Linked DNA regions of Danio rerio. The protein of the gene in region 1 binds, or shares a complex with, the protein of each later gene. Links are inferred from orthologs where the notes say so. Each region holds a gene or a part of one and is shown in the gene's direction. Other genes may lie near its edges. The genes, in order: uxt, ruvbl1, uri1, asdurf, pfdn6, dnaaf10 and pdrg1.

The links.
Region 2: uxt (region 1) and ruvbl1 share a complex: the UniProt entries of both Homo sapiens proteins name them as parts of the PAQosome complex. The link is inferred for Danio rerio from reciprocal best matches to the Homo sapiens genes UXT and RUVBL1.
Region 3: uxt (region 1) and uri1 share a complex: the UniProt entries of both Homo sapiens proteins name them as parts of the PAQosome complex. The link is inferred for Danio rerio from reciprocal best matches to the Homo sapiens genes UXT and URI1.
Region 4: uxt (region 1) and asdurf share a complex: the UniProt entries of both Homo sapiens proteins name them as parts of the PAQosome complex. The link is inferred for Danio rerio from reciprocal best matches to the Homo sapiens genes UXT and ASDURF.
Region 5: uxt (region 1) and pfdn6 share a complex: the UniProt entries of both Homo sapiens proteins name them as parts of the PAQosome complex. The link is inferred for Danio rerio from reciprocal best matches to the Homo sapiens genes UXT and PFDN6.
Region 6: uxt (region 1) and dnaaf10 share a complex: the UniProt entries of both Homo sapiens proteins name them as parts of the PAQosome complex. The link is inferred for Danio rerio from reciprocal best matches to the Homo sapiens genes UXT and DNAAF10.
Region 7: uxt (region 1) and pdrg1 share a complex: the UniProt entries of both Homo sapiens proteins name them as parts of the PAQosome complex. The link is inferred for Danio rerio from reciprocal best matches to the Homo sapiens genes UXT and PDRG1.

Annotation. Positions count from the first base shown.
Region 1 is NC_133183.1:10,252,866-10,257,312, forward strand, and holds the start of uxt (protein UXT), read left to right. Parts: upstream 1-1,475; 5' UTR 1,476-1,693; coding exon 1,694-1,776; intron 1,777-3,775; coding exon 3,776-3,857; intron 3,858-4,040; coding exon 4,041-4,108; intron 4,109-4,200; coding exon 4,201-4,308; intron 4,309-4,447. Other genes in the region: zgc:86609 (ER membrane protein complex subunit 3-like), read right to left, coding at 678-832. UniProt on the Homo sapiens protein: Involved in gene transcription regulation. Acts in concert with the corepressor URI1 to regulate androgen receptor AR-mediated transcription. Together with URI1, associates with chromatin to the NKX3-1 promoter region.
Region 2 is NC_133181.1:43,388,327-43,392,716, forward strand, and holds the start of ruvbl1 (ruvB-like 1), read left to right. Parts: upstream 1-1,181; 5' UTR 1,182-1,328; coding exon 1,329-1,469; intron 1,470-2,091; coding exon 2,092-2,178; intron 2,179-2,300; coding exon 2,301-2,433; intron 2,434-3,580; coding exon 3,581-3,732; intron 3,733-3,848; coding exon 3,849-3,938; intron 3,939-4,390. Other genes in the region: eefsec (selenocysteine-specific elongation factor), read right to left, coding at 303-594. UniProt on the Homo sapiens protein: Possesses single-stranded DNA-stimulated ATPase and ATP-dependent DNA helicase (3' to 5') activity; hexamerization is thought to be critical for ATP hydrolysis and adjacent subunits in the ring-like structure contribute to the ATPase activity.
Region 3 is NC_133193.1:16,045,324-16,049,755, forward strand, and holds the start of uri1 (unconventional prefoldin RPB5 interactor 1), read left to right. Parts: upstream 1-1,391; 5' UTR 1,392-1,678; coding exon 1,679-1,759; exon of another isoform or gene 1,760-2,163; coding exon of another isoform or gene 2,164-2,190; intron 2,191-4,234; coding exon 4,235-4,269; intron 4,270-4,432. UniProt on the Homo sapiens protein: Involved in gene transcription regulation. Acts as a transcriptional repressor in concert with the corepressor UXT to regulate androgen receptor (AR) transcription.
Region 4 is NC_133184.1:42,816,097-42,820,562, reverse strand, and holds asdurf (ASNSD1 upstream open reading frame protein), read left to right. Parts: upstream 1-1,402; 5' UTR 1,403-1,477; coding exon 1,478-1,555; intron 1,556-1,677; coding exon 1,678-1,731; intron 1,732-3,156; coding exon 3,157-3,232; intron 3,233-3,354; coding exon 3,355-3,395; 3' UTR 3,396-3,407; downstream 3,408-4,466. Other genes in the region: asnsd1 (asparagine synthetase domain-containing protein 1), read left to right, coding at 3,408-4,466.
Region 5 is NC_133189.1:35,060,183-35,064,590, reverse strand, and holds the start of pfdn6 (prefoldin subunit 6), read left to right. Parts: upstream 1-1,535; 5' UTR 1,536-1,571; coding exon 1,572-1,635; intron 1,636-4,408. UniProt on the Homo sapiens protein: Binds specifically to cytosolic chaperonin (c-CPN) and transfers target proteins to it. Binds to nascent polypeptide chain and promotes folding in an environment in which there are many competing pathways for nonnative proteins.
Region 6 is NC_133188.1:1,036,184-1,040,855, forward strand, and holds the start of dnaaf10 (dynein axonemal assembly factor 10), read left to right. Parts: upstream 1-1,764; 5' UTR 1,765-1,786; coding exon 1,787-1,972; intron 1,973-4,672. UniProt on the Homo sapiens protein: Key assembly factor specifically required for the stability of axonemal dynein heavy chains in cytoplasm.
Region 7 is NC_133186.1:392,066-396,672, forward strand, and holds the start of pdrg1 (p53 and DNA damage-regulated protein 1), read left to right. Parts: upstream 1-1,592; 5' UTR 1,593-1,627; coding exon 1,628-1,711; intron 1,712-1,796; coding exon 1,797-1,869; intron 1,870-3,184; coding exon 3,185-3,259; intron 3,260-3,353; coding exon 3,354-3,434; intron 3,435-4,607. UniProt on the Homo sapiens protein: May play a role in chaperone-mediated protein folding.

The DNA of each region.
Region 1 (4,447 bases):
GAGCGCTATCCTGCTGAAAAATTTGCCCTCTCCTGTGGTTTGTAATGTAATCTGCAGCACAAATGTCTTGATACCTCAGGCTGTTGATGTTGCCATCCACTCTGCAGATCTCTTGCACGCCCCCGAACTGAATCTAACCCCAAAACATGATTTTTTCTTTACCAAACTTGACTGATTTCTGTGAGAATCTTGAGTCCATGCGGGTTCCAATAGGTCTTCTGCAGTACTTGTGATGCAGTTCAACAGATGACTCATCAAAAAAAAAAAATCTACCTTTTGCCACTTTTCCAAATGATCAACTAGTTGTCAAGTTATTATTTGTTGCTCTTACAACTGGGATTGACAACAAGACTTTTGTCGGGCAGTGTAGAACAAGAATCATTTGATGACATTGTACTGAAATATCAGTGCAGCCCCCAAAATTAATTGATTTGTTAATTAGTCAGGTTTTATAAAAATTCTGAACTTAGGATTTCTCATAGTTAATTACACATGTTTATTTATTCATATAAAGGGTACTTGGAATATTTCTACACTACTTACTCAGCAATCAGAACTGATTTTATTTTAATTCTGAACGTAACAGATTGATTGATGTTGTTTCTGAACTCCAGATAGTGATTATTGTTGTTTAATGTATCTGTTTATATCTAAACACCTGTATTTTTGATTCTCACCTGTCAGACACCTGCTGCAGATCCACTTTCTTCTCATTATGGATGAGTTTAGTGATGTAATGCCGCAAAACTCCGACGAAGAATGTGATGAAGACTATGGGCAAAACAACCCAAAGGCGAATACTGGAGTCTAGCAGCAGCTCTGGACCTGCCATTTCTATGCTGACTGAAATCGAACTATAAACACTGACACTTCTAAAGTTTTTTTAAATGAATATTCAATTCTGGAATTAATACTACGATGAAAAGTCAAACGGTGGTGTAACTACATAACTTTTAGACACATTTCTGTATGAACATGCGCCATTTGAGCAGCTGCCGTATGACCTTTGAACTAGTAGCGATTCAAACACGAGTCGTTTTGATGAGTCGGATCTTTGAAATGAATTGTTCGAATCGTCTTACACCGGTTTAGGTGGTTTGTGCACGAAATGAACACTCTGAACCGAGTCTATTTTGTACCGAGTCACTTTAAAACTTGACAGTTTTTATTCGCAGACATAGTAAATACAGATATTTTATGAAATTGGGTATATATAGCTCTAATAAAATCTTTGAAGCAATCAGGTATTTTAATTAACACGTTTTGAATGAGAAAGAATTTGTTGGAAGTTGCGTCAACGCTTTAAATTATATTGTATTTACAAATATATTTGTCTTATTGAGAGAATTGTTCTAATAGGTAAACATTAATTAAATAAAAACGAAACGTAGATGTTCATTATAGGAAAACTATAAAACAAAAGTTTAGCTAACGCCATTTCCGGTTTAGACCGAGGACGTTTCCGCGTATCTTGTAAACAAGTGTGGAGCCACGTGACAGACCGAAGGAAGGTTTAGCTTCATTTAACGTACTCGATACTTCATATATTTGCTACTACAATATATTAATCTGTCATATGTAAGCTTTAATCGCTGCATCAGCCCAGCGACGTGCTGTTAATGTTTGATGCACATTAATATTAGAAACATCGATTGCTATTAAATAAAACTTCGATCTGTTATCATCTCATATCATGACTTCTGGCACATCTGTTATTAATGACAAAGTCTTGCAGTATGAGACATTCATCAGTGAAGTATTAAGACGAGACCTGCAGTAAGTATCATTTAATATGGATATTTTGCACGTACACGAAGCTGCCATGGTATTAACGTTACCATGCTTGTACGTTAATTCCATACAAATACAGCTCTATGCTAATCTATATTGTTTAAGCTAATCTATTATGAAATGCTACTATGTGTTCTGGAAACATTATGTACGCTTGTCCAAAGTACTTGTTTAAATGAGCTGAATCAACACGATTCTTGAGTTTTTTTTAGCACAACTACATTTTTTTATTTCAGTTTACTTAAATTTGTAAAAACAATAAAGTTAACTTGATCGATTTGTGTTGGGACAAGATGAAGGAATTAATAACCCTGTGGAACCCAGTATAAGGAACACTATAGTACTTTATTGTAATTTTAATGGTGTTTTTAAACAATACTATAGTAAAGTGAATTGTACTATACACACACCAGCCACTTTATTAGGTACACCTTTCAAGTCCCGGGTCGAACCCACTTTTGCCATCAAAACTTTCTTAATCCTTCGTGGCATAGATTCAACAAGGTACTGGAAATACTCCTCGGAGATTTTGGTCAATATTGACATGATAGCATCACGCAGTTGCTGCAGATTTATCGGCTGCACATTCATGATGTGAACCACCAGTTCCACCACATCCCAAAGGTGCTCTATTGGATTGATGTCTGGTGACTGTGGAGGCCATTTGAGTACAGTGAACTTATTGTCATGTTCAAGAAACCAGTCTGAGATGATTTGCGCTTTATGACATGGTGCGTCCTGCTGGAAGTAGCCATCAGAAGATGGGTACACTGTGGTCATTAGGGGTTGACAGCAACAATACTCAGGTAGGCTGTGGTGTTAAATAAATTATCCCCCACACCATTACACCATCACCACCAGCCTGAACAGTTGATGCAAGGCAGGATGGATCCATGCTTTCATGTTGTTGATGCCAAATTCTGACCCTACCATCTGAATGTGGCAGCAGAAATCAAGACTCATCAGACCAGACAACGTTTTTCCAATCTTCTATTGTCCAATTTTGGTGAGCCTGTGTGAATTGTAGCCTCAGTTTGCTTTTTTATCTGACAGCAGTGGCACCAAAGAGTGGTCTTTTACTGCTGAAGCCCATCCGCCTCAAGGTTTGATGTGTTGTGCATTCAGAGATGCTCTTCTGCATACCTCGGTTGTGACGAGTGGTTATTTGAGTTACTGTTGCCTTTCTATCAGCTTGAATCAGTCTGGCCATTCTCCTCTGACCTCTGGCATCAACAAAGCATTTGCACCCACAGAACTTTTTTTTCCCTTTGCACTATTCTCTGTAAACCCTAGAGATGGTTGTGCGTGAAAATTCCATTAGATCAGCAGTTTCTGAAATACTCAGACCAGCCCGTCTGACACCAACAACCATGCCACATTCAAAGCCTCTTAAATCACCTTTCTTCTCCATTCTGATGTTCGGTTTGAGCTGCAGCAGATCCTCTTGACCATGTCTGCATGCCTAAATGCATTGAATTGCTGTCATGTGATTGGCTGAAACTTTCGTTAACGAGCAGTTGGACAGGTGTACCTATTAAAGTGGCCGGTGAGTGTATGTATTATATTATTTAGTATATGTAAGTATATAATAAATATTGTGAACTGTTAAACTGTAATGGTGTGCTTCAGTATTTACTATAGTAAACCCTGTAGTTGTAGAAAACCACAGTATTAGTTGTTTGTTTATAATGCTATAGTTGTGTTAATAACTATAAAGTCACCACAAAATATTAATTCAAGTACTATACTATAATATGATTCAAAATACTATAGTATTTACAATAAATACATTAGTATTTTTTCATGTAAGTTCTTTTTGCTCCACCAGGAAAGTGGTGGAGCAAAAGAGATGCTGTGGATGAGAAAATACGGCAATACCTGCAGCTGAAGAACACAATATAATAAAATATAGTTCAAGAACACTATAGTATTTACCATAAATTACTATAGTATTTTTTCATTTGAGTACTCTCTGCTCTGCCAGGAAAGTGCTGGAGCAAAGAGATGCTGTGTATGAGAAAATCGCACAATACCTGCAGCTGAAGAACACAATACAAAGCATTCAGGTATGTGAGATTTGCATATGTATTTGCATATTTTGTGCTTATTCTTATGTCCTGACTTATTTGTTTTCAGATATAGTTTGTGCTGTGTAAAAAATTTTTACATTTACTATTACTGTCCATCTCAGTTGCTCTCATTCTGCCTTGTGCGCTTTTAATATGTGGCTGTGTTTGATTCACCTTCAGGAAAGCGGCAGCAAAGAACTGAAAACCGATGTTGACCTTGGCTGCAATTTCTATGTGCAGGCTCATGTGTAAGTGTTGTTTGCATGACGTCTGTGGTGCTGTGCGTCAGTGGAGATGTTGAACATTTTTTGAAAGGGCAATCTCATTTCTTTTTTTCCAGACCTGATGCATCAAGAATATATGTGGCAGTCGGATATGGATTCTTTGTCGAATTCACGCACGCAGAGGCTTTGAAGTTCATTGAAAAGAAGACAAATCAGCTCACAGAGTAAGAGGATTTTAGTAGTGCTGTCAAACGATCGAGATTATTTGCATCAAAATTAAAAGTTTATATTTGCTAAATAGATTTTTGTGTCTAAATATACGCATGACTATGACTTTAAATTTATTTATTCATTCGTTTTCAT
Region 2 (4,390 bases), on another chromosome or scaffold:
TGTTAGTTTGGGAAGAGGGTGAGATTTTTTTCCCTGACAATGTCTGTTCTGTCTTTAGAGTGATTAACATGGCATCTTCAAACGCTGCACACACACCACCTATTGATCAAAAGTGGTACTGCTGCACAGATTATAAAGTGCCCTGACAGGTTACTATTCTGTTGGTTAGTTAATTAAAAACAAGTCAGTACGTAAGTCAGTAACTTCTAGTGCTTTGTGTACGTAGAAGGCGTGAAGTCACACGTCAAAGTGAATTTTATTAGTGTAATTGTTGCTTTACTGAAAAAAATACACCCACTTACCCCCGATGATAGTGCGTATAAGGGAGGCATGTCCTGGACAGTCCACCAATGTGAACTGCAGACTGTCGTATTGTTTTTCCCCGCAGGACTCCCTCAGGTGCTCCGGTAACGGCACCGTGAACGCACTGAAGCCGAGATCCAGCGTTATGCCCCGCTCTTTGGACTGCGGGTTCTTGTCGAAGGCTGCAGTGGATGCGGTGCTGCTCAGCGCCCGGGCGAGAGATGTTTTCCCGCTGTCCACATGGCCGAGGACACCGACGTTAAAGTTCAGTGTTTTGGGAAAATCTGTCATCTCTGGATCAACACCGCGGTTGGGTAACAGAGAGTGAATGCGCAGACTTTGAACTGCTGACAGCGACGCTGCTGGTCAAAACAACCAGCTTGATGTCGTCAGACAACCAACTTACTGTAATTTGATGAATTTTGATAATATCAACTTATTAACTTTGATATCAGAAATAAAAGTGTAAACTAAATTCCTCGGCTCTTACTTCATTCAGCAAAGTTTTCAGAAATTTGACAGTTGCTCTTCCTGCGCTGCCAAAAAACAATCCCTGAGCTGGCAGCATCTCACATCACTGGTTCCGCCTCACGGCATTTTGTTTGAGAAAAGAAACATTCCTCATGAACAAAGTTGTTTATAAATTAGTTTAAAAGTAAAAATAATCTACACCTTGGAAATATTATGTTATCTACACTTCTGAGAGAAACTATTTATGGGAACCCACAGCGTAGATCCTTGTTCCAACACAACATTTCAAATGTAACACACACGAAGAATAGGGGCGGGTTTACAGTGATCAGACCGACAGTTGCAGTGTCCAATGGTCATGCAGAGTTTCCACAAGTTGACCAATCGTTACAAAGAACCACTGAAAAACGTTTTGCGGACGGTACTTCCTCAAATCGCCTTGGTTACCCTCATGGAAACGCGGGTCTCTTGTGTTTGATTTTAACGGCCTCTCGTGAGACAGGCGTGTGGTTGTTTTATTCACGCACAGCGCGTTCGATTAATTATTAAGAAACATGAAGATCGAAGAAGTAAAAAGCACAACCAAGACGCAGCGCATCGCTTCTCATAGCCATGTGAAGGGCCTCGGTCTGGATGAGGCTGGTAATGCTAAACAGTCCGCGTCCGGGCTAGTGGGACAAGAAAGCGCCAGAGAGGTAACACTAGCTAAAGACCAATTTCCGTGTTTATTTCATTAATTAAGAAAAGCAAACATTTTAATTTGATAACCTCGAATGATTTGTATGTAGCTGGCTATATGTGAAGAATAAATACAAAACTTCTAATTCATTTGCTTGTGTCAAGAGCTGGATACAATTGATTGTAAATACGATAAATTCATATACTTTCATAGGCTATATATGAAGAGTTCAGATGCAAAAACCTCTAAGTACCGTCTGAAACTTCCATTAAAGCTGAGCATTTTTATCTCAGCATTCTATATTGATTATTGATGAGTTATTTCTCTTTAAAGATCATTAAATTAACATACTTTTTAATTATTCTTTAATTTGTAATTACTGAACCTACTAACAGGAGCCTGATAAAAATGTTTATTTTAGAAGAACATTTCAGACGGCTTTTAGAAGTTTTTGCATCTGAACTCTTCATATATATATATATATATATATATATATGGAATATTTTAATCACACTTTTTAAACAAAATAATGTTTTCATGTATGTGACATTTTCTGGCCTGTAGTTTAGCCCTGGGCTTTAAAAAAAAAAACTGATCCTGTTACATAAACATCTAGAAAATTCTTGCATATTTGTTAGGCTTGTGGCATCATCACTGAGCTGATTCGTTCCAAAAAGATGGCTGGCAGAGCCATTTTGCTAGCCGGACCGCCTGGAACAGGCAAGGTAAGGGTAGACTGGTTTTATTTACACTGCACTGTATAATTAAAATGGACATTAAAATAGTTTCAGAGCTGTTGTTTAAGATAGTATGTATAGTCTGCCCATTTGATTTCTATCCACCACAGACTGCTCTAGCACTGGCCATGGCACAGGAGTTGGGAAATAAAGTGCCATTCTGTCCTATGGTGGGCAGCGAAGTTTATTCATCAGAAATCAAGAAGACCGAAGTGCTGATGGAGAACTTCAGAAGAGCCATAGGTGAGCTCTCACACCACCATAACCTGTCAAAAAAGGATAGAGGAAAAGTTTTTTTATATATTCGCACATTCAGACTTTCTGCTTAATAATATAATTTCATAAAAGTATTCTTTGCAAATTTTAAATAGTGAAATCATATTAGCAGTCAATGACTATCAAAGTACAGCGTTGTTCAATCAATTACATAGTGCTAATATTGTTTTGAAGTCATCCTTGCATGCTATTTTAGACGCAATATTCAACTTGCCGTGGTAAACAAATATGGGCCATTAATGAAACAAATGTGCAAATCTCAAACATACTTTATCTAAATCAAAAAAGGCTGTTGGCCGTTATCTTGCGTAATGAGTGATTCCTACCATCATTAAATCAATTCAATCAAAACTGCTGATTCAATTAAAAATGAAGCAAGTGACTGTCTTTAATATAAAATCGAGTCTTTGGCTCATTCGATTTGTTTAAAAATAGATTAGTTCTGGAACAATGCATACCATCGTTGCTCTGAAATGTGTAAAATGTTTTGGTATGACCGTTCAGAACTGATTATGTTGACAATTGAAAATAACACAGTATTTTTGTTTTGAAATGTAAACTTACTGTTTTTTGAGCTGTTGATATTTTTGCTTTTTTACTTGAAGTAAAGGGTTTATAGTCCTAGGCTTAACCGCAGTGTTTAGACTGAATATGTATTTGTTTTTATAATGAGCAACATGCATTAATGTCAGCTAGCGTGTCATTAAACAGCAGGACTAAGTGAATATCATTTTATTTTAGATGATATAACACACCCCTACAATAAAGAAGCCATGTAAAATCTGTATTTTCCTTTATGTATTCCTATAGATTTGAGCATGACCTTGTACTGTTCTTCTAGTTGGTTCACAACCCTCAACTCTGAAACCCTCAAGTATGACTCTGAAACAATGTAGACTATGTGATCAAATGAGATATGCATGAATGCACACATTATTACTACGCTGACAGAGATATATGGCATGAACCATTGAAAATACACTTCTGGCTTTTTATTACGTAATGAAATATGTGGTTTTTGTAAAAGTGTATTGGCCAGTAAAACCGAAAAACTATTAAAAGTGTTTATATCAATCTAGTATCTAAAGTTCTGTTTTGTTTTTTGATCGAACAGGTCTGCGTATCAAGGAGACTAAAGAAGTGTATGAAGGAGAGGTCACTGAACTGACTCCTTGTGAGACTGAGAACCCAATGGGAGGCTATGGTAAAACTATCAGTCATGTCATTATTGGTTTGAAGACAGCTAAGGGGACCAAACAGTTGAAGGTAAGGAAGTGCAGGCATGTTGTTATGTTTTTTTTCTGCATGCTTATATTTCGTAGATAAGCTGGATGGAAGCTGATTATGTGGTTGTTTGAAGTCATATCTCATCTCTCCTGCAGCTGGATCCCAGCATCTATGAAAGTCTGCAGAAGGAGAGAGTGGAGGTCGGTGATGTTATCTACATCGAGGCTAACAGTGGGGCAGTCAAGGTATGGACAGATATGCTTCGCTATTCTCTCTCCTGCGGTTCTATAGTTGGCATGTTGAAGTAATCTTTTGTCAGTACAGGTGGGCAGGTAGTCTGGCAGTGGAATAAAGGACGAGATTGTCTCTCGTATTTTTAAAAGAACGTAATACTTTTATTAAGCAAGAATGAATTAAGTGAATTCAAAGAAAAAGAGACTATAATAATGCTACAAAAGATTATATTTCAAATAAATGGAGTTTAAGTTCATTAAAAAAAATCCTAAAAAAAAAAAAAAAAAGATTAGAAGAAAAAATATTAAGCTATAAAATAAATATTTCTTGAGTGCCAAATCAGCATATAAGAATTAATTCTGAAAGTTCATGTGACACTGCGGTAATGATGCTGGAAATTCTCGCCATTACATGAGTAACATATTTTTGAAGGAAAATAAGTTTAAATAAATGCAATTTTAAA
Region 3 (4,432 bases), on another chromosome or scaffold:
AAAAAATACATCCCTAAAAAAGTACAAAATATTCTCGGAAGGTGTTGAAGAACAAATCCCTTGAATCATAAGTGTAGTACTTAACACGCCATTGGCATATTAGACATTGGCATACTGCACAAGTGCAGTAAAGACAGAGTTTACTTGTTTTGTTAACTGGAACTTAAACTGTAGTTAAACTTTATTGTACTGCATTTGAGCTGTGTTTATACTTCATTTTTATAGCAATTGTACTTAATTCATATGCAATTATACTTCTATTTACTGCTGTTGTACTGCAGTTTTACTTCAGTTTACTGCTCTCGTTTACTGCAGTTATTTTTGTAAGGGCAAACAACAACAACAATCCAGGGGTTTTCAGTCATCTAGTCCAAGATAAGTGCCAAATCCTGCAATAAAGTCCTTGTTCTTATTGCTTTTAAGTTTGTTGATCCCTCAATAGACTCAAAATACATTTTCATTTCAATTTTACATTAAGAAAGAAAATCCTAACCCTAAACAAAATACACTTACAAAATTTGTTTTTGTGAATATGAAATTTGCCCAACAAAAAAATCAGGTTATGAAATAAGTATTACTTTCCTTTTGACTTTTACAGAAACCAAAAAAAAAAAAAAATTCTTATAAGTAAATGCAAAATGTGCCAGCACATAATCTTTTATAAAATCAAGAATATCACATCAAAATGTCACTGAATGAGGCCAATTCCAAAATAAATGAACAGAAGTTTTAGGAATCTCTAAGCAAAATGGACAGTTGATGTTAATATTATTCATAAGCCTTTTTAGATCCAAATGGTTTGGATAGCATCTATTAATCAGTTTAAATGTAACTTCTCTTATTTTATTTATTTATTTATTTTAAATGTGGGGTAATGAGCAAACTTTCTTACATGAAATTGTACCAAAGAGCTTAGAATGATCATGAATGGTCATTCTAAGCTCCTTGAATTGTACAGAAGCCTTTTGTTTTTGTCGAATCATAAATTGTACGACTTCCTGTTTCGTAACGTCACGTGACGTTGGCGTGAGGATTGTTTACATCCTCTCATCATCAACCCATGTTTTCATTTAAACATATAAAGTGAACAGAACAAAAGCGCTTAGACAGTACCTACATTTACTGTTATCAAAATATGTATATATACACGTGTCCCAACAAGCGACCACTTTCGTTTGCCAATTTTAAAGAGTGGCGTTAATACTAAAAGTTGTTTATTTAATTTCATTTCAGCATGTAATCATTTAAGTCCACGAATAACTCAATAAATTTATTGCAGCTAAGCATTTAAAGTCGAAAATTATAAATGAAAGTGAAATTAAATAGCAAAAGTGGGAGATCACGTGCTTGCGTCGTAGAAGGAGAGCGATATCCAGAGCACGTACTACATCCGTGATTAGATGAACATGGCGCAGGGGAAGCAGGCCGTCGGTGGACTGTAAACAAGAGGAAATTTCGGGATTAGATTGACATCGTACCATGCACGTGTGAAATGGTCTCAATCTCGATATACTGGACGACTCGTTCTGCTTCATTGATGACTACGAGGCGACAAATTGAGTGCAACGCATCACATTGCATTCATAAACATTTCTATAGGACTTCAAACCCCTGAGCATTCATTGTTTTGGATATTTAATCACACAAAAACCTTGCTTGATTGTGGATGCACGAGCAAATGGCTGCAGTTGGGAAAGTCAAACGGAGTACGAGAGATTTGCCTCGAGGCGTGGAGAGGTTGAAAGATGAGCACAGGAAGGTCAGGAGTAATGTTTATTTCCATAACAACAATGCATTCCTGCAGATATTATTGTTGATGTTCATAAACGTGATTTGTCATCAGCGTTTGAAAGATTTGTCGTCGATTTTAATGTCGTTTATTTTGTATATTTGCAGCGTTGCCCGTTTCATTCTCTGGAAAGTTCTCTCTGTATCACGTGTTGCCGTTGGTTTTCTTTTTGCAGTTACTGCATTTTTGTTTGCATGTGTTTTTAATACTTTGCTGTAAAATCCACGTGTATGTGTTTACATGAAGCTTATCTTGATGTTAGTAGAAAACTTTACATGTGACGTTAACTCCAATTTAATCAACCACATGGCACATGCCCACGTTGCCTTAATGTATAGAGCAAGTAAAAGCTTAAAGTACTTTTAGAGTAGGCAATGAAATGGAAACGACTCCCTGTGAAGGTAAGGTTTAATTGACCCATTTCTATGTGCATGGAGTGAAAAGAATAGGTGAATGTCATACACACAATGTCTTTGACCCCATTTGTTCACAGTTGAAGATAAACACCCAGTTGGCTGGATTTGAAAATTACGTTTGACCTGCTTTCTTTACAGCAAAGATGTGTTTTAAAAAAAAACTGTTTTAGAATCCCTGAGCAACAAAATAATAATTATAGCTTTGTCTATTACATTTATTATTATGGCCACATTTAGCTTAAGACACCCATAAAAAATATTTTACCATAACAGAAGTTTATACCAAGTAGAATATACTGTATATTGGCAGGTATATTTAGAACATGTATCATTTGATGACATTAAAATACTCCTAGTCCTAAGCATTACAGTGCAACCCCAAAACACAAAGTATTTGTAACTTTTAATCCATATTCTCTGCCAGTATCATTCTATCATTCATTTACTACTTTGTCATAAATTTAGTTTCTTTATATTACAAAAGTTTGTTTTATAATTGTGTGTGTCTAATATATATATATATATATATATATATATATATATATATATATATATATATATATATATATATATATAATCTCGTCACCTTAGAATTATAAAGTTCTATTTGACATTACCTAGTATTCGGAATGCTTTTATGGCCATTTAAAATGTCAAAAGTTACCTAAAAGCGAACCGTACCTCTTTTTTGGTACCCTTTGGCCTTAGTGTCCCACCAGTGACGATATACAGCCATATCACACTGCCACGAGTTCAACAGTTCAGTGGCATAAGACTACCGGAGTCTCTCAAAAACACTTTTGTATGAGGAACTACCTTCTTCTGGCAATTATTCACATCTGCACCTGACATCAGAACAGCAGAAACCTGTGCTAATTCACTAACGTCACTTTAGAGCTAGTATTTAAAGGATTCTCTAGCGTAATGTCTAAAGTGATGACAAAACAGGTCATTTTGCTCACATTTTAAGATTATAAGGATGAACGGCATGAAATGCCATCAATGTTTAGAGATTTCCCAGTATTTCTCTGTTGCGATTGGGGGATCACAATAATTAACCCCGAAAAAACCAAAGCAACGCAAATGCAACCAGATTACTATGGTATAAATACAGCACTACAACATACAAAAGAGAAACATCAACTTAGTGACACTTATTTATAATGATTTGATCAGCTGTAATTTGATTTTTTTTATTTTTATTTTTGCTGAATTTTTCCTCCCCTAAGCACTTATCGAGGTTTTTGTCGCCATTCTGTAGCAAAACGTCAACCGTCTATGCTTTGCTCAGTGACAGGCTAACGGTCTCTCAGAAATTATAAATATTCTAAAATTGCCACTATCCTTATAAATAAACTGCAAAGTTGCAATCTAAACAACTACATTCTCACCTCAAAAGTACATTATGTTGTCCAAAACCCTTATATTTGTCAATCTGTAGTAAGTTTTTTCATCTGCTGTCACTCTATGTGGGCGGAATAATACAGAAGAGTATGAAGGCTGTACAAGTGCTGATATAGCAGAATATCGTACAGCCAAACAAAACGTGTGTGTTTGTGTGTTTATTTAAATTTTTTTGACATCATCTTGTCATTTACCTGTAGAATCTGTAAAGATCTTGCATATTCCACACCAGTATTTACATTGGAAGTTATAATTAACCTACTATCATCACATTATTTTAGTAGTTTAGCACATAATTAACCTTGAAACTGTCATTGTTTTGCCAGTCACTCTGAAATAACCTCATTCCTTTTATGGAAATTGAAAAAAAAACATTCAATAGCAAAAAAAAAAAAAAATGTAACATTTACTCTGATTTTATTGAGAAATGACATGAATGGGAATAATATGTAAAGGCTTGTCCCACTTTTCACAAGGAACTTTCAGGACTGTCATTCTCTGTGATGGCCAATTCACGCTACTAAAACATTACTGATAATTTAGCAGTGGTTGTTAATTGTTGTCTGTGGTATTTTTAATATTTCAGTAGTTATGAAATGATGCATTGTCTGTGTTTCCACAACAGGTGGTAAAAGATTGCAGAAGTCAAATTGAGCACTGGTGAGTGTCCTCGTGTAGTTCAGCAAGTTTCGTTGTCCATAACATTATCATCAATGTCAATGTTTCTCAGAAGCTTATTTAATGATTTATTACTTGTATCATGTTTATATTTAGAATTGAAATGCTATTTATACTCTCTATATAGACGTTTGATGGTTATGAC
Region 4 (4,466 bases), on another chromosome or scaffold:
AATCAAGCTCTTACTAGATATACTAGAAACTTCCCAGCAGGTGTGTTGGAGCTAAACTTAGCAGGACACTGGCCCTCCAGGACCAAGGTTGGACACCCCTGTGGTAGGGTCAGGACAGTCCTAAAGGGCTTACGCATATTGGGGGCCCCTAGAGATATGATTCGGGGTTCATGCACAACCCCCCACCCCTCTCTTCGCTTCACTTTAGAGCATTATTCCTATGTACAAAATTTAGGAGGGATACAGTGGCTCATTGGTTAGCACTGTTGCCTCACAGCAAGAAGGTCGCTGGTTCGAGTCTTGACTGGGTCAGTTGGCATTTTTGTGTGAAGTTTGCATGTTCTCCCATGTTGGTGTGGGTTTCCTTCTGGTGCTCCGGTTTCCCCCACAGTCCAAAGTCATGAAGTATAGGTGAAATAAATAAACTAAAATGTCTGTAGTGTATAAGTGTGAATGAGCGTGTATGGATGTTTCCCAGTACTGGGTTACAGCTGGAAGGGCACACGCTGTGTAAAACATATGCTGGATAGGTTAGTAGTTCATTCCGCTGTGGCGACCCCTGATGAATAAAGGAACTAAACTGAAAAGAAAATGAATGAATGAATGTCAAACTTGTTTTCTAAGGACCAGTGCAATTTGTTTTTACTTGCCCCATTACAATTCAAACACTTATTTATAAACAAAATAAGTTTATTTTAAGAAAGATAATTGAACCAAATTGGTAAAGAGTTTTAGAATATACAATTTAGTTAATTGTTTTTTTAGAATAATTGTTATTTGTACCGATTAAATAGCTTTACATGGACAAAAAAATTAACACCTGTTTAAAATTATTTAAGACCTGTAACACCCTTTTAAGTAAAGTTTTAAAAGGCCTAAAATGTTGTTTTTGAAATGTAAGACTTTTAAAGTCCCTGCGGACACCCTGAACAATTTTTCCATTAAGATGAGCATTATTTGTTCATCTTGAAAGTTAAATGCAAACAATCCTCTTTAGGATAGCTCTCAAATTACTGAGGATAAACCAAAATATTTGGATAAGATAATGTACGCCTAGAGCTATGATAGGCTTTGTTTATTACCATCTTATCGTACATTAGAAGAATGGCAAAATATGATATAAGATAATATGATAATATCAGGTTTAGATAGATGGGCTAGCCGCTGTTTCGCGATGAAAAGTCGTTAATATCCGGGTAAAAACTCTATTTGAAAGCATTCGACGTATTTGAACCGTATTTGACCACATTACTTAGATTCCCTGTTTCATTCAACAACGCGTCTTTGTTTAGATGCTGCAGATTTATCCACCCAACATTATTCTTTAACAGGCTTTGTTTATGGGGGATAATGGGGTTAGGATTACGTGACGCACTTTTAAAGCGTCGTTGGCGCATACGTCATTCTTGTGCGACGAACGAGTTACTTGCTCGTGGAGATGTTTCCCTAAAAATGATCTGAAGCGTATTAATAAACAATGTCCTCCAAGAACATACAGCGAACTGAGCCTGGGGCCTCAGAAGAGCGCGCACAAAAAGAGGAGCTGAACCAAAAGGTTGTCTATCATATATGTTTTTTGTAATTTATAGTATACAGTTGACACCAGTAAAACGCGTTAAGCATGTTTAGTAATTTCTGTTTTTTGATGATCCTAAAAACATAACTATTCATTCGCAGATAAAAGAGCAAAAGATTGTTGTGGACGAGTTAAGTAACTTGAAGAAAAACAGGGTATGTAACGTCATATCGTCTTGTCACTTTCTATATATTATCAAGAGTCATTCTGCATTTGGTGTAGCAGATGCTTTCACTTAATTATAGATGTAACAAAGTCAAACCACATCGCTATAGAAGGCAATATATACTAAAATGTTTTCTAGTGTAGCATACAATATAATATATGAACTTATGCTCCACTATACTAATTCGCAATAGATTATAAGTAGACTGTCAGGTGGGGTTGGTGTAAATTGACATGTACTTGCAAAGTTTCTTAGTCAGTGAAATGTTGAAAGCAGCAGTATCAGCAGATATTAAGCAGACAGTCTACTAATACCCAAATGAGAAGTAACTGGCATTTAGTTGCAGTACAACTTTAGTCAGAAAAATGTGCAACAGGGACCATCAAAATAAAGTCTTACCATGATATTAATTACATTCACATTTAAAAATATCAACTAAGAAGTTCCTTCGATGTTTAGAGATATTTTTCCAGTTAAATTTATGAAAGATAAAACGTAATTGTGAAACAGTTTATTTGACATCAATTAAAAGCAAAGTAGAATTTAAGCTTGACAAAATTATCAACTTATAAAGTACCTTAAATGTATCATCTGTTGCCATTTTCTAACCCATGGGGATTCAAATTGGATAATTCCTTTGAACTATTGAATTTATTATTTTAAGATAATTTACCTCAAAGTCAGTGTTCTTCTTATGGCAGACTTGTAAATGAAGCAAATAGGACTGAGTTTCATTTCTGGCCCATTTTTGTGGAGATTTTCTAGAGTACTTCTATAGCCAGTCCATGTGTATAGTGAAGTATCTTATAGTTATGCGTAGGTTTTTAAAATAGCTCTTATGTGCAGAGTTGTGTTTGTATTTATGATTAATTTATGTAGCACCGTTGTCCTGGGAGACTGCACATTTAGTTTCTCTGTATGTTCACACTAGGCATGGGCCGGTATAAATTTCTGACGGTATGATAACCTTGTATAAAAATACCACGGTATCACAGTATTGTGAAAGTGATTACTGCTCTCTCTTTTTTAAAATGTATGGGTAAAATAGAACAAACATTTATAATTTCCCCACTGAACACAAATTATTTATTTTAAGGAACATAATATTTTGGAACAGTAAACATGTCAGGCTAAATAGTTAAAATAAATCTTTGACTTCTGCTCTATTCGTTAGTTTGAAAAACGTAGATTTCTATACAACACATAAAAATATATAAAAAAACTTTTACATATAACTTGGGAACGGTATAACAGAACAATTTACTGGGATTAAAACCTTGAATTTTCCAAACCGCGGTAAACCTTGAAACCGGTTACCGTCCCATGCCGAGATCACACATGTAGTGGAATGACAATAAAGCTCAACTTGACTTGATATCATCACATTCCAGTAATACTAAGATTATATTCACAGAGAGTGTACACCCAGCAACCCAACAGCAATATATTCTTTCTGGCAGACAAAGGAGAAACCCTTAGCTCTTGTAAACGTAAGTGTTTCTGTTATACTTGAGTTGTTTCTGCTTTTTTGATAGATGATACATAAATACAATACTAATGCCACCATTTTGAGTGTGTTCTTCTAACATTGTCATAATATTCTGTTATACAGAGGACCTGGATAACATGCGGAAAGAATATCAAGATATATAGTGAAGTGATATCATGTGTGGGATCTGCTGTGTGGTCAGTTTGACCACACCACATGATCCACTGGAGGAGAATGTGCTTCAAAATCTCAAACACAGAGGACCCAATTGTAGCAAAGACATTACAAAAGAAATCTCAAACTGCAGTGTCCTATTCTCTGCACATGTACTTCATATGAGGGGTTGCCTGACCCCTCAACCTCTTCAAGATGACACTGGGAATATGCTTCTCTGGAATGGAGAGGTGTTTGGTGGTCTGAAATTAGAGCAGGAAGAAAATGACACCAAAGTTCTTCTTCATCAACTGTCAATGGCCACCAGTGCCTCAGATATTGTATGTTTGTTATCACAACTCGAAGGACCGTGGGCCTTTATCTATTACCAAAAGTCTGAGCGCTGCATCTGGTTCGGGAGGGACTTTTTCGGGAGAAGAAGTCTGCTTTGGAAATTCAATCCTGAAAGAGCTTTTTTCACACTCGTATCAGTTGCTTCCCAGCCAGCAGATGATAGTCAATCCCAATGGCAGGAGGTACCACCTGGTGGAGTTTACAGGTTTGACCTAACAGACACTTCACTAGATGGTACATTTATTTTTGAACTTTATCCATGGATTTTCCACAGTGACGACAAGCCAATTGAAAGCCCGGAATTGAAATGTGAAGGTCTTCCCAAATGTGTTTCTTTAAACACAAATAGTTCTGGACTTTACCTGACCTCCCCTGTTTGTCCGATGAACACATCCATTTCATCACTTACAACTGAACAAAATCATAACGCCTCTCAAACCTCTGTTGAAAATCTGAAAGCATTCTTAACAAACACTGACAAGAAAGCAGTGGTTAGTGCACTGATTGATGTTCTAAGCGAGGCCGTTCGTAAGAGAGTGCAGTACTTACATGCTCGGGATGCACTGGAGGTTTCCTTAAATCAAACAAAAGCTGACATCGCCATTCTTTTCTCTGGAGGAATTGATTCAATGATACTAGCTGCCCTTACTGATAGGCACGTTCCTGCAGACAAGCCCATTGACTTGCTCAATGTTGCTTTCAAAATGCAAGAAGCAAAGATGCCTCCC
Region 5 (4,408 bases), on another chromosome or scaffold:
GTTATAAAATTTCTATGTAAACATAAGACTTTAATAAGAAATTTCTGAAAAACATCACACAGTTTACTAACATAGAACATCCCAAGTGTATCCAATCTCTAGCCGTGTTTATACTAGGTTCCTACTAGTATTCACAACAAATAAAATTAACCCCACCAGAAACATTGGTGTGTCGACACAAACTACTGTGTCGCTCCCACAAGTAACAAGCATAATCAAAACAACTGAGATTAAAGTGTCCAAAAAAAGTGATTTCTTCAACTAAAATTGCAGGTTCAGAGGACTAATCATCATACAAATGTTTTATATGAATTTTACAAAGTGACAACCTCTGTCATAACTCTAAAACCATGAACACATTTCATAATACACATTCAACTCACAGCAAAGATATCAGGTTCATTATAGAAAAAAGCAAAAATAGCCACACTCAAAATGACTGCCTGACAAAACAATAGAATTTATGAATTATTTATGTTTTATTCTATTATTTCATTCCTGCCCTTATGAAATTGAACCAAGGGAAGTGTGTGTGTGCGCGTGTTTTGACAGACATATTATTAGTGTAACTAACGTTACAGGTTTACCACAGATACTATGGTTAAATGGTGGTTAATGGTTGTTTGTTTGTTTGTCATCTTAGAAAATTTGATTTTTTTATTGAAAAAAATAAAAAAAGTTTTGAAGAATCACAAGAAGAAGAATAACGTTACTAGCAAATATCGATAAAGTTAAAACATCATGACATCTATTACGAAAATTAACCATGGTTTTACCACAAAAACTAACCATGGTAACCTCAAATCAACATGGTTTTGTTACACTAACCCCAGCTAAACTGTAGTACTTTCAGTAATACTGTGGTTATAAATAACAATCGATACGACAAAAAAAGTATGATTACACTTAACTCTTTAAACCATGGTTCATTCTCGTAATAGATGAATATAGCACATGATACTATTTTACCCTACATATGTTTAAAACGCTGCTTAAGGTGCAGATTTAGAACAGTCATTACATTTGCTTGTGTTATAGAAAAAATATATAACTGACTTTACCTGCTGTTGTGATTCTATGTGGTCGCGCACACCCGAAAAAAGACCTTCACGTTAGAATTTGAACCATGCGCGCTGCCATATTGCCTTGACTGTCACTACAGAGGGCTTGGAGGAAGAGGATAGACTGACACCACATGGACAGGAGAGGCACTACGCTTTTAGATACTGGAAAAATTGTACCCATCGTATTAATCCAAAAATCACATTAACTGATGCGTTAAATCTACATATGGTGCGTAAAATTATAGAGCAAATTATTTAAAGGTGTGTGAATAAACATAATACTGAAAAAAATTGTGTATGTTTTTCTTAAACACTAGATGGCGAAGTAACTCTTTTTATCAGCTATCGTAAAACCCCCATGTGACGCAATGATATGACGTCATTTCCCGTGCGCCTCAGACTGTGTGCTTGAGTAGTGTGCTGCTGACTGTCTGCATTTGTCATAAAATATCGTGATTTTTATTATTTAGCAATAATAATAAGTCAGACATTGGAATAGCAGGTGTGATGGCTGAAGCGATTCAGAAGAAATTGCAAGCTGAGTTGGAGAAATATCAACAACTCCAGAAAGGTAACTTACAGCACGAAAAGCTCAGAGTTAGCAATCCAACACTCCCTGCATGGGCATCTTTATATTGAGGCAAAGTTGGTTTTATATTCGCACATTCGTTCAGTGACAATGTGTGGCATGCTCCCTATATTGTTTACCATGGTACTTTGAATATTCGGTCTGAAATCACATGTAAATAAGACTACATTAACGTTATCACTATTTATTTGACTGAATAATGGTGTAATTTGATAGCCATCGTCTGCTAATATGGTTTCACTATTTAGGATTTGCTAACTACAGAATACTTTTCGGAATTTTTAATAGGAGAAAGTCTGAATGTGTAAATATAAAACCAACTTTACCTCATTGTGTAAATTGGCTTTCTCTCTAAAAATCTTATTAAAGTATTTTTGTCAATTCTAAATGGTAAAATCATATTAGCAGCCATTGACTATCAAAATCACCATGGTAAACAATGTAGGGATGTCACAAGTTTTCACTGAACGAATGTGCGAATATAAAACCAACTTTACCTCAATCATCTTTATGTTCGGCTCCTTTAATAATTTATATTTAACGTATTTGTAGTAATTTGTTGTATTCAGGTTTAATATCTATGTAGTGCAATGCACTGATAAAGTACAAATGTCACGGTTATGTTGTATTTGGACTTGATTTAGCTACCCAGAGCTATTTTAGACAAAATCCACATTCAATCTACAAATTCTCATTATTGAACGTTTTAAAAAGGCTTTTACTATTTTATTTTATTTTATGATTCATTGTGTAAGTTTCTTGGTATTTATAGTAACACCATTATGAATATTCATATAGCCAAGTTATACCAGTGTACACTTGCACATTTCCTGCAACATATCTTTGAATAAATAAAAAGTTTTAACTAAATTAGAATAAATATAATTAATTTGAGATTTTATAAATCATGATTGTTCAAAAAACATATACCAAATAATGCATATATATATGTATGTATGTATATATGTATGTATGTATGTGTGTGTATATATGTATGTGTGTGCTCCTTTAATAATTTATATTTAACGTATTTGTAGTAATTTGTTGTATTCAGGTTTAATATCTATGTAGTGCAATGCACTGATAAAGTACAAATGTCACGGTTATGTTGTATTTGGACTTGATTTAGCTACCCAGAGCTATTTTAGACAAAATCCACATTCAATCTACAAATTCTCATTATTGAACGTTTTAAAAAGGCTTTTACTATTTTATTTTATTTTATGATTCATTGTGTAAGTTTCTTGGTATTTATAGTAACACCATTATGAATATTCATATAGCCAAGTTATACCAGTGTACACTTGCACATTTCCTGCAACATATCTTTGAATAAATAAAAAGTTTTAACTAAATTAGAATAAATATAATTAATTTGAGATTTTATAAATCATGATTGTTCAAAAAACATATACCAAATAATGCATATATATATGTATGTATGTATATATGTATGTATGTATATATGTATGTATGTATGTGTGTGTGTATGTATATATATATATATATATATATATATATATATATATATATATATATATATATATATATATACATACATGCATGCATGCATGCATGCATGCATGCATACATACATACATACATATACATACATATACACACATTTCAAAACATGAATTCCCAGAGAAGCTACCAACCACAGAGTCATGGGAGCAGAAAAAATCAATCTGTAAATTTTTAAAAAATTAAATACATTTTAAATAAATAAATAAACATGTGTTATGGATGTGACGAAAAAAGTCTGCGAGTTTACAGTATACAACATACTTTGATGTTGATGTTGATGTTGTTTTTATTTAATTTAGTGATAATATATATATATATATATATATATATATATATATATATATATATATATATATATATATATATATATATTAAATATATATAAATAAAATAACATTAAATATAAACATTTCCCCGAGATGGGTTGCGGCTGGAAGGGCATCTGCTGCGTAAAAACTTGCTGGGTAAGTTGGCGGTTCATTCCGCTGTGGCGACCCTGGATGAATAAAGGGACTAAGCCCACAAGAAAATGAATGAAATAAAAACAATATCAACCTTTAAAACTTTCAGTAATGATAAATCATTCATCATTTTTTTCGGCTTAGTCCCTTTATTAATTTGGGGTTGCCATAGCGGAATGAACCGCTAACTTATCCAGCACGTTTTACACAGCGAATGCCCTTCTATCTGTAACCCATCACTAGTAAACTATACACAATCATTCACACACATACATTACAAACAATTTAGCTCACCCAGTTCACCTACTGACCCAGCCGAGGCTTGAATCAGCGACTTTCTTGCTGTGAGGCGACTGCGCTGCCCACTGCGCCACCATGCTGCCCAGTAATGATAATACTGTAGCTTATTATAAGCTTTAGATTTTAAATTAAAAATAGATTTTATTGATAATAGAAAATATGTAATTGCTTTGATTTTAATGTCTCATGATTGCTCAAATATTTTAAAATTAAAATATTTAATGAAAGGCAAAATTATAATATTACTACATATTATAAAACAGACCAGTGTATTGTACTTGTGTAAACTTTCACTTTAATGTGTTTGATTTCTTTTTAAAATAACAGACATATCATGTATTCATATTTTTCAGAAAACATTATCCAAAAAGTGTGAGATATAGTGTAAAAATGAAACATATTCTAATCTATCATGGTTTAGCTTTTAACATGAAGATATCTTTATATTGTATTAAAATATTAGAAGG
Region 6 (4,672 bases), on another chromosome or scaffold:
CGTCGGCCATGTTACAGAAAGGACCGTACTGCTGCCCGGAGCGGTGCCAAATGCTAATGCTTATTACTAAATAAATCCAAAGGCTACAGTGATGTCTAAGGTAATTGTTTTAAAATGTTTAGATTTAATTCGAATTTATTAAATTAAAAAAAACATTTGAGTTATTTTGAGTTGTGAAGATTTTTTTTGTTCATTTTGATTAGGCTAAATGTGGGTCAACTATGTTCTGAGGGTCCTTCACGCTGTAGGAAAACACCGGAGAGCTCACGTGTAGCCTATAAATATACTATTGGACGGACAGACAGACAGACAGACAGACAGACAGACAGACAGACAGACAGACAGACAGACAGACAGACAGACAGACAGACAGATAGATAGATAGATAGATAGATAGATAGATAGATAGATAGATAGATAGATAGATAGATAGATAGATAGATAGATAGATAGATAGATAGATAGATAGATAGGATGGACGGATAGACAGACAGATATAGACGGACGGATGGATGGATAGACAGACAAACATGATAGATAGATAGATAAACACAGACAGCACCTACCAGACATTCATTATTGTAAAACGTGAATCAGGAAATGTTAATAAATGTGGAGCAGTGCAGATAGAGAAACATATTATTAGAAATTATGAATACTAAATGAGTGAAACTTATGGAGAATTAAGTTTAAAACAAATGAGAATTTAAGAATATTCATTCATTCATTTTCTTGTTGGCTTAGTCCCTTTAATTTAAGAATATGTTAAGCAATAAATTGGGGTGAATTAAAAAACAATAACAAAAGCACTCGGTATAAGAGCAACAAAGTTCAGTCTATTGAAAATTGAGAATATAACAATTAAGAATATGTTAAGAAATGCCCCAGAACAATATGAAGTGTATTTTGCGATTATAAATCAGTGAAATGCAATAGGTATAATAAATGGAATTTAAGGAGAATGAACTATAAAGATTATATATATATATGTGTGTGTGTGTGTGTGTAAAATACATTTTATTCTGTTATATATTACTAGTATCCAGTAAAAAAAACAGTGAAGTCTAGAAGGGATGCAGTTGCAGGTACATCAATATGACATAATTTGTGTAACACTACAACAATAATTAATATTTTCACATTACTGTGATAAAAGGGGTAAATGTTAATAAAAATTCAATTTAATAGGTAATGTTATAAAAAATATGAATAATACTTTGTATTATTACTTTTTCCATTACTGGGGTGGGGGTAGACATTGATAAATTACAATGAATGGGTAATTAAATAAATAATATGACTAATACTGTGTATACCTGTTTTTACATTACTGTTATGGTTGGGTTTAGGTTTGGGGTAGAGATAGACGTTAATACAATAAAATTAATGGTTAATTTATGAAATAATATGACTAATACTCTGTTTAATTGCTGTTTTTGCATTACTGTGAGGTTTGGGTTTATTGTTGAGGTAGGGGTAGATGGAAATATGGTAATAACATACAATTAATAGGTTATTTAATAAATAATACTGTCAGAATTGGGTTTAGGGTTGGGGTTGATGTTAATAAAATACAATAGATGTGTAGTTAAATAATATAAATAATTCTCGACCGCAGCTGTATCCCTTTTAGCAAAAACCCACACCAATCCACCAGGTGGCGGAAGTATAGCTTTTAAGAGGGTTGTCAACAGCCATTGAAACAAAGAAGAAGCAAACAGCGCAACTGACATCTCTTTCCTTCTGCTCAAACTGATAGATTTTAGTTTCATATTGAGCACAGATCATGTCAGCAGCTCTCGAGAAGCCGCAGATCATCGCGCACATCCAGAAGAGCTTGAACTACACGGTGTTCGAGAGCAAATGGATTCCGTGCAGCGCCAAGTTTGTTTGTATGGGAAACTTCGCGAGAGGAACCGGAGTGATGCAGATCTACGAGATCCAGCACGGGGAGCTGCAGCTGGTCAGAGAGGTCAGGTCTCTTCATAGTATATATTCACTGAAGCACAAATCAAACTGCTGAAAAGCTTTGCTGTTTATTAGCTAAGCCAGTTCGGCGCTTTCTAGAAAAGTCCTGAGGCGCGGTTGCCATGGCGACAAAACTCAACTGCCTCAGTCTCTGTTTACAACGCGTTTATTAACGTTTACTTCACCGTCATAGTTCATATTCATCCACAATACACATGTGAATCATGACTATAAGACTAGTCAGGGATCAGTTAAAAATAGAGATTTATTCATGATCTATTATGCAAAAATCCCTTTTATAAGGGGTTTAACCCCAGTTGTGTGTCAGCAGTTTGTGAATATCTCCAGCCTCTAATGGTAAAGATGAATTAATTGTGTTTGATGTAATCAGACTTAATAAAAACAGTCTGCGGAAACACTTTTTTAAAATTATATTTAATTTTATATATATATATATATATATATATATATATATATATATATATATATATATATATATATATAATATATATATATATATATATATATATATTTAATTTTTGAGTACTTTTAGGGCATGGGGTTGAAGATGAATACCATGTTTTGTAATGATATGTGAATATGTTGGTAAAATATAGTGTTTTTGGCCAAAAATCGAAATGGGCGACGCCCAAAATGGCTGACCTGTGAAAATCAGACATCATTCGACTCGACATGCTCTGCCGGATGTAATGAGACAAGTTTTATCAGTTTCGGACGAAAGGTTGAGACGTTATAAGCCAAAAATCAAGTTTTTTGTATCTCCGGACCACTAGGGGGCAATGTGCCAAAACTCAGCATATAACCTCGGACCCTAGTTGTCATAACACACACCAAGTTTGGTGTGAATCGGTGAATGCGTTACAGAGATATCGTCTCAAGTCCATTTTCGCAAGTTCTACGTTAAATTTGATCGCAAGTTAAGCGAAAACAGTTGGTCTAATCAACTTCAATTCCATAACTCTTGGTTGGCATGGTCTGTAGATCATGTGATTCAATTTTGGTGAAAATCGCAGAAACGGCCTAGGACGAGTTCGATCAAATAGGTTTTTCGAAAAATTTAAAATAGCGCGAAAAAATTCATGACGGAAAATGATGTCATAGGGTGCGTTTGAATCGGACTGAGCCAAGGAGTCAGCGGAATTTTGATTGTAGCCCATTCGGTTCAAAAGTTATTATGATAAACATACGTGAAAGTTTGGACAAGTGGTGGCGCTAGAGAGTTTGATTTTGAGACTTCACATTTGGTCTGATTAATGTTAAGACTGTCCTCTATCATTGTGCCAAATTATACAACTTTCCCGCATACGCCTATATGGGCTGCCATTCATATCCGGTGGAAGAAATGGAAGAAGAATTCTTACACTTGAATGAATCAAAAACTGAAGTACTAGTGTTTGGTCCTCCGAGTGTCTGTGAATCTACAATTAATAAATTAGGTTCGATCAAGCCTAAGGTCCACAGTCACGTAAAAAATCTTGGAGTTACTTTTGACACTGAGTTAAAGTTTGACAAGCAAATAAACTCAGTTGTCAAAAGTGGTTTCTATCAATTAGGGAACATTGCCAAATTGAAGCCTTTTCTTTCTTTTAAAGAGCTGGAAACTGTCATTAATGTTTTTATTATGTCAAGACTGGACTACTGTAACTCTTTGTATTCTGGAGTTTCACAGGCATCAATAGCACGCCTGCAGCTGGTTCAAAATGCAGCTGCTAGGCTTTTAACTGGGACAAAAAAATCCTCTAGTATCTCACCAGTTTTATTGTCTCTTCACTGGCTCCCAGTCCAATTTAGAATTCAATATAAATTATTGCTTCTAGTTTTTAAAAGTTTGAATGGTCTGGCACCGACTTACATTTCTGAGCTTCTTCACTGGCACACTTCATTGAGGCCAATCAGGTCCGAAAACACGTTTCAGCTAGTTGTCCCCAAAACGCGGTTGAAATCAAGAGGTGAAAGGGTTTTATTGCTGCAGCCCCCCGACTATGGAAGGGTCTGCCTTTACAGATCCGGTCATGTTCTTCACTTGGTGCTTTTAAGTCTCATCTAAAAAATCACCTTCTGTCTCTTGCCTTTGATTGTAATTAATTTTAATCTGTTTTATATATTTTGCAAATTTTTTATATATAGGTATAGATTTTGTATGCTGGTCGTTTTGTAAAGCACTTTGGTCAACATCTGTTGTTTTTAAATGTGCTCTATAAATAAAGCAAACAAACAAACAAACAAGAAGAATAATAATAATAGGAACGCTAACGGATCCAATAGGTGCCTACGCACCTACGGTGCTTGGCCCCTAATTAGAAAAATAACAGCAAAAAGGGTATATATAAGGGGTATATATATAACAAAAGGGGTATATAAATCACACATTAAAGAAAACGATTATATAACTGACAAATTTCAGTTGTTTTTAAAGACTGTGAGTAAGAAATAGTTTCATAGTATTACTGCAATTCAGTAAGCAAAATATATGAAAACAGGTTTTTGGTTGGAAAATTTACATGTATGTATATAAGGTTTTGTTAGTAAGATAAGAAGGTTAAGAAAAAAAAATATGTCAAGCTTCGGTTTTTTAACTGATAAAGCCAAACAAAACATTTTCCCATAGTAAAGAAAAGTCTGCATCAACATTCTCAATTACAAAAAGAGAGAAAGCTTTTCCAAAGGAAATTAGAGTATCTGC
Region 7 (4,607 bases), on another chromosome or scaffold:
TGACACTGCAAAACTATGGGATATTGTTGTTGAGTGTTACCATAACGATATTTCCAATCACATATTATTTCCATGTAAAAACGCTATTTTATTTGCTGTTTCTAAATCATTTATTGATTTAATGATTTTAAAATGTACAGGCAAAAATGTTATTTTTCAGATCTAATTAATTCTAATTCAAACTAAAACAACAACAGCAACGTGTCGAGCTGCAAACATTTAGTCTTTAAAACACTACGAATGAGTGAAAACCTGATATGCAGATATTCTGACTCTGATTGGCTGTTGTCATTCTCCTTTCTGGACTCCACCCATAAGTGTTTATTTTCAGCTCTGGGTTCAGGACACTCCAGCCAATAACAGAACAGCCACTACTGGGGAGGCGCGACTAAAGATATTATGGCCCCATCTGATTGATCTAATTTAGATAAACAATCAATGAAAAAGAATGTATATTGCAAATACTAATATTGCGATAACAATAATATTATGCATTTATTTATATTTGTATTGTGAATGAAGATAAATATACTGTGATGTATTTATTCAGAAATGAAGATTTGAAGTGTTGAGTCTGCTCATGATTAGCCCCGGCTCCTCCATCCCACTGAGAAGCAGCCATCATCTCACATTGTGTGTAACTTGTTATTTTCCTCATTCTCTGCCTGACTCATACGGTGATTGTGATGATCATAAATACAGTTTTAAGCTCTTTGCAATCCTCTTGACATGGGAGGAGTTACTCGAACATGCAAGAGCCACATCCAGAGTATGTCCAGATATTTTAAACAAAAGATTATTTTCTTACAAACACTATCTGCTGCCAGTTACTGCTGAGCACAACACATGCAGATTATTAATAGGTTCATTAACATTCATTCATTCATTTTCTTTTTCAGCTTAGTCCCTTTATTAATCAGGGGTCACCACAGCGGAATGAACTGCCAACTTATCCAGCATATGTTTTTCACAGAAGATGCCCTTCCAGCTGCAACCCATCTCTGGGAAACACCCATACACACTCATTCCCACACATACACTACGGACAATTTAGCCTACCCAATTCCCCTATAAGCGCATGTGTTTGGACTGTGGGGGAAACCGGAGCACCCAGAGGGAACCCACACCAACCCGGGGAGAACGTGCAAACTCCACACAGAAACACCAACTGACCCAGCCGAGGCTCGAACCAGAGACCTTCTTGCTGTAAGGCGACAGTGCTACCTACTGCGCCACCGCCTCACCGGTTTATTAATGTTATTTTTTAATTTTAATTAATTTTAATTTAATTTATTTTGTCAGCAGCAAACGTCCATCTATACAGACAGTTTTGACAATAATTATTAATAATTATTTATAAAACTGAACCATAGTTGAACATTTATTTAGTTAGCATTTCCTGTTACGTTTTAGCAGTTTTCTTATTGCTGCGTTTTTGAGTCATTTTTTTTCCTGAAGAGTTTTTTACTTTACTTTACGAATATCAGGTTTGTTTTCCTCGTTGTGGATCTCACATCTGAAGTCGGAGCTGATGGTCGCTGTGAGCCGGAACGAAAATACAGCACAACTTGTTTCCACTCTCAGTCGGACTTATTTCGTCTAGCGCATAACACACGCACAGTTCAGCATGGACGAAAGCGCGCAGCGGGTACTGGAGCATCTGACTGAGGTAGAGGTTGCTGCAGAAGACATACTCACCGACAAACAACAGGTGCGATTGAGTTATAGGAGCAGTCAATTATCGGGTAATTTCTGTTTTATATGTGGTGTTTATTGAAGTGGTTGACATGTGACAGATTGTGGATCTGGATGTGCGGAGAAACAGAAACCGAGAAGCTCTCAGCGCGTTAAGAAACAACTCACCAAACGGCGAGTACAGACTACAGAATACTGGTTTATAATGCATTAATGGCACATATGCTTGGTGTTGGATGCAGTGTCATGCGTATAAAACTTGTACTACGTATAAAGCACATATATAAGTACACGTATCTTCCAAAGTAATAAATATTTCATTTATAATGTGTCAGTAATAGGGTTATTAAGCTTATAACCACACCTAATGTAACACCCCGGTATGTTTACTACAGGTTTATTTTTTGTAATTTACCCTAGAATGTTTAATTAACTTGTTTTACTCATGATTTATCAGTTCAGTTCACTATGTTGTCATTTTAGTTTTTATGGCTTGAATTTTTGCACCTTTTTTTGTGAATATGGGTTTAAAAAATCATCCTATGGGTATCCAAAATCTAATAATTTACTAATATTTAATATGATTGTATTATATATGTAATATTAGGGATATTCAAACAAAGAAAAGTAAGTTATCATGACTCCAACCACTGAAAACACACAACTTTTTTATATTTACAAAGTTTTTTTTTTTTTGGCACATTTGGGCTCAGTCCCTTTAGTCATTAGGGGTCGCCACAGTGGAATGAACTAAGTTTTCCAACTATTCCAGCACATGCTTTACACAGCGGATACCCTTCTAGCTGCAATCCATCACTGGGAAACACCCATACATACTCATTCACACACTCATACACTATGGCCAGTGTAGTTGATCAGTTCCCCTATAGCGCATGTGTCTGGACTGTGGGGGAAACCGGAGCACCAGGGAGGAAACCCAAGTCAACACAGGGAGAACATGCAAACTCCACATAGAAACACCAACTGACCCAGCTGGGACTCAAACCAGAGACCTTCTTGCTGTCAGGCCACAGTGCTAACCACTGAGCCATCATGTCGCCCTAATATAAATTCAGAAAACTGTTAATTATAAATAGTGAAATCATATTAGCAGCCAATGACTATCACAGTCCAGTATTGTTCACAGTCAGCTCAATAGAGCGGATGTTGTTTTGAAGTCATATTTACATGCCATTTCTGACCAAATATTCAAAGTAGCATAATAAACATTATAGAGAGGGAGTCACAAGCTGACACTGTTGAAATGAATGAATGTGTGTGTATAAAACAAACTTTACCTCAATAAACACATATTGTATTTTACATAAGAAGATGTTCAGAACAAAATAAACACAGATTTCTTCTACAAAGAGCAAAACTAATAGATGATGCCATTTGCTCTGTAATCTTATTTTGTTTGCCTAATGCTGGTTCTCATTTGAAGTTTGTCTCTGCACATGACAATAAAATTGAATCCGATCTAATCTAGATAATGTAAAGGTGTGTTTTGGAAATATGTTCATCAAATTCCCTCAAGAAAGCACCAGATCAATGATCCTGAAAGGTGAGTGTGTCTTTTTCAGCTGTGCTTTTGTGTGAATAACCCTTCACATGTGCCACTGTGTTTAATAAATGAGCTGTTCTACTGTTCCTGACAGACCAAGAGCAGCTTGATAAGGAAATAACAGACCTCCGCACACGACTGAAAGCGAAAGTGAACCGTCTCAATGAGCTACAAGGTAGAGCTGCTTCATCAGTCTCTTGCTCAGTCATACTTATAAATGGTGTAAACATCTGTGCCGAAGACAAGACGTGTTATTTAGTCTGCGTCTTAGTATTTTTATGTACTTAAAAAGCATTTATATTAGTGCTGGACAAAGATTAACCACATCCAAAATAAAAGTTTATTTGTGATGTTTGTGTGTAATATTCATTCATTCATTTTCTTGTCGGCTTAGTCTCTTTATTATTCCATGGTCGCCACAGTGGAATGAACCGACAACTTACCCAGCAAGTTTTTACGCAGCGGATGCCCTTCCATCTCTGGGAAACATCCACACACATTCACACACACAATCATACACTGCGGAGAATTTAGCCTACCCAATTCACCTGTACCGCATGTGTTTGGACTGTGGGGGAAACCGGAGCGCCCAGAGGAAACCCACGCGAACGCAGGGAGAACATGCAAACTCCACACAGAAACGCCAGCTGAGCCGAGGTTCGGCCCAGCGACCTTCTTGCTGTGAGGCGACAGCACTACCTACTGCGCCACTGCTTCGCCCGTGTGTGTATTATATTTATATTTATTATATATTTATGATACTTGCATACATGTAAACAAAACTACAAAACTATTTTGTTACATAGATATTTAAATTTATGGCTACACTTTACAATAAGGTTCATTAGTTAATGCATTTACTAACATGAACTAATCATGAACAACACATGTACAGCATTTATTAATCATTATTGAACATTTACTAATGCATTATTAACATTCAAATCCATGCTTGTTAACATTAGTTAATGCACCATGAGTTAACATGAACTAACAATGAACTACTGTATTTTCATTAACTAACGTTAACTAACATGAACAAATACAGTAGTAAATGTATTGTTTGTTTATGTTAGTAAATGCATTAATTAACATTAACTAATAAACCTTATAGTAAAGTGTGACTATATATATATATATATATATATATATATATATATATATATATATATATATATATATATATATATATATATATATATATATATATAAATTATTAATAGTTTGTACTCTGTAAAACCCAAAAGGTTAAGGTAACTAAAACTATTTGAGGAAGCTGATTGCAACAAACTATTTAAGTTCAAAAACTAATTCTAATGAGTGCTGTGAACTTAATCCATTTGAGTAA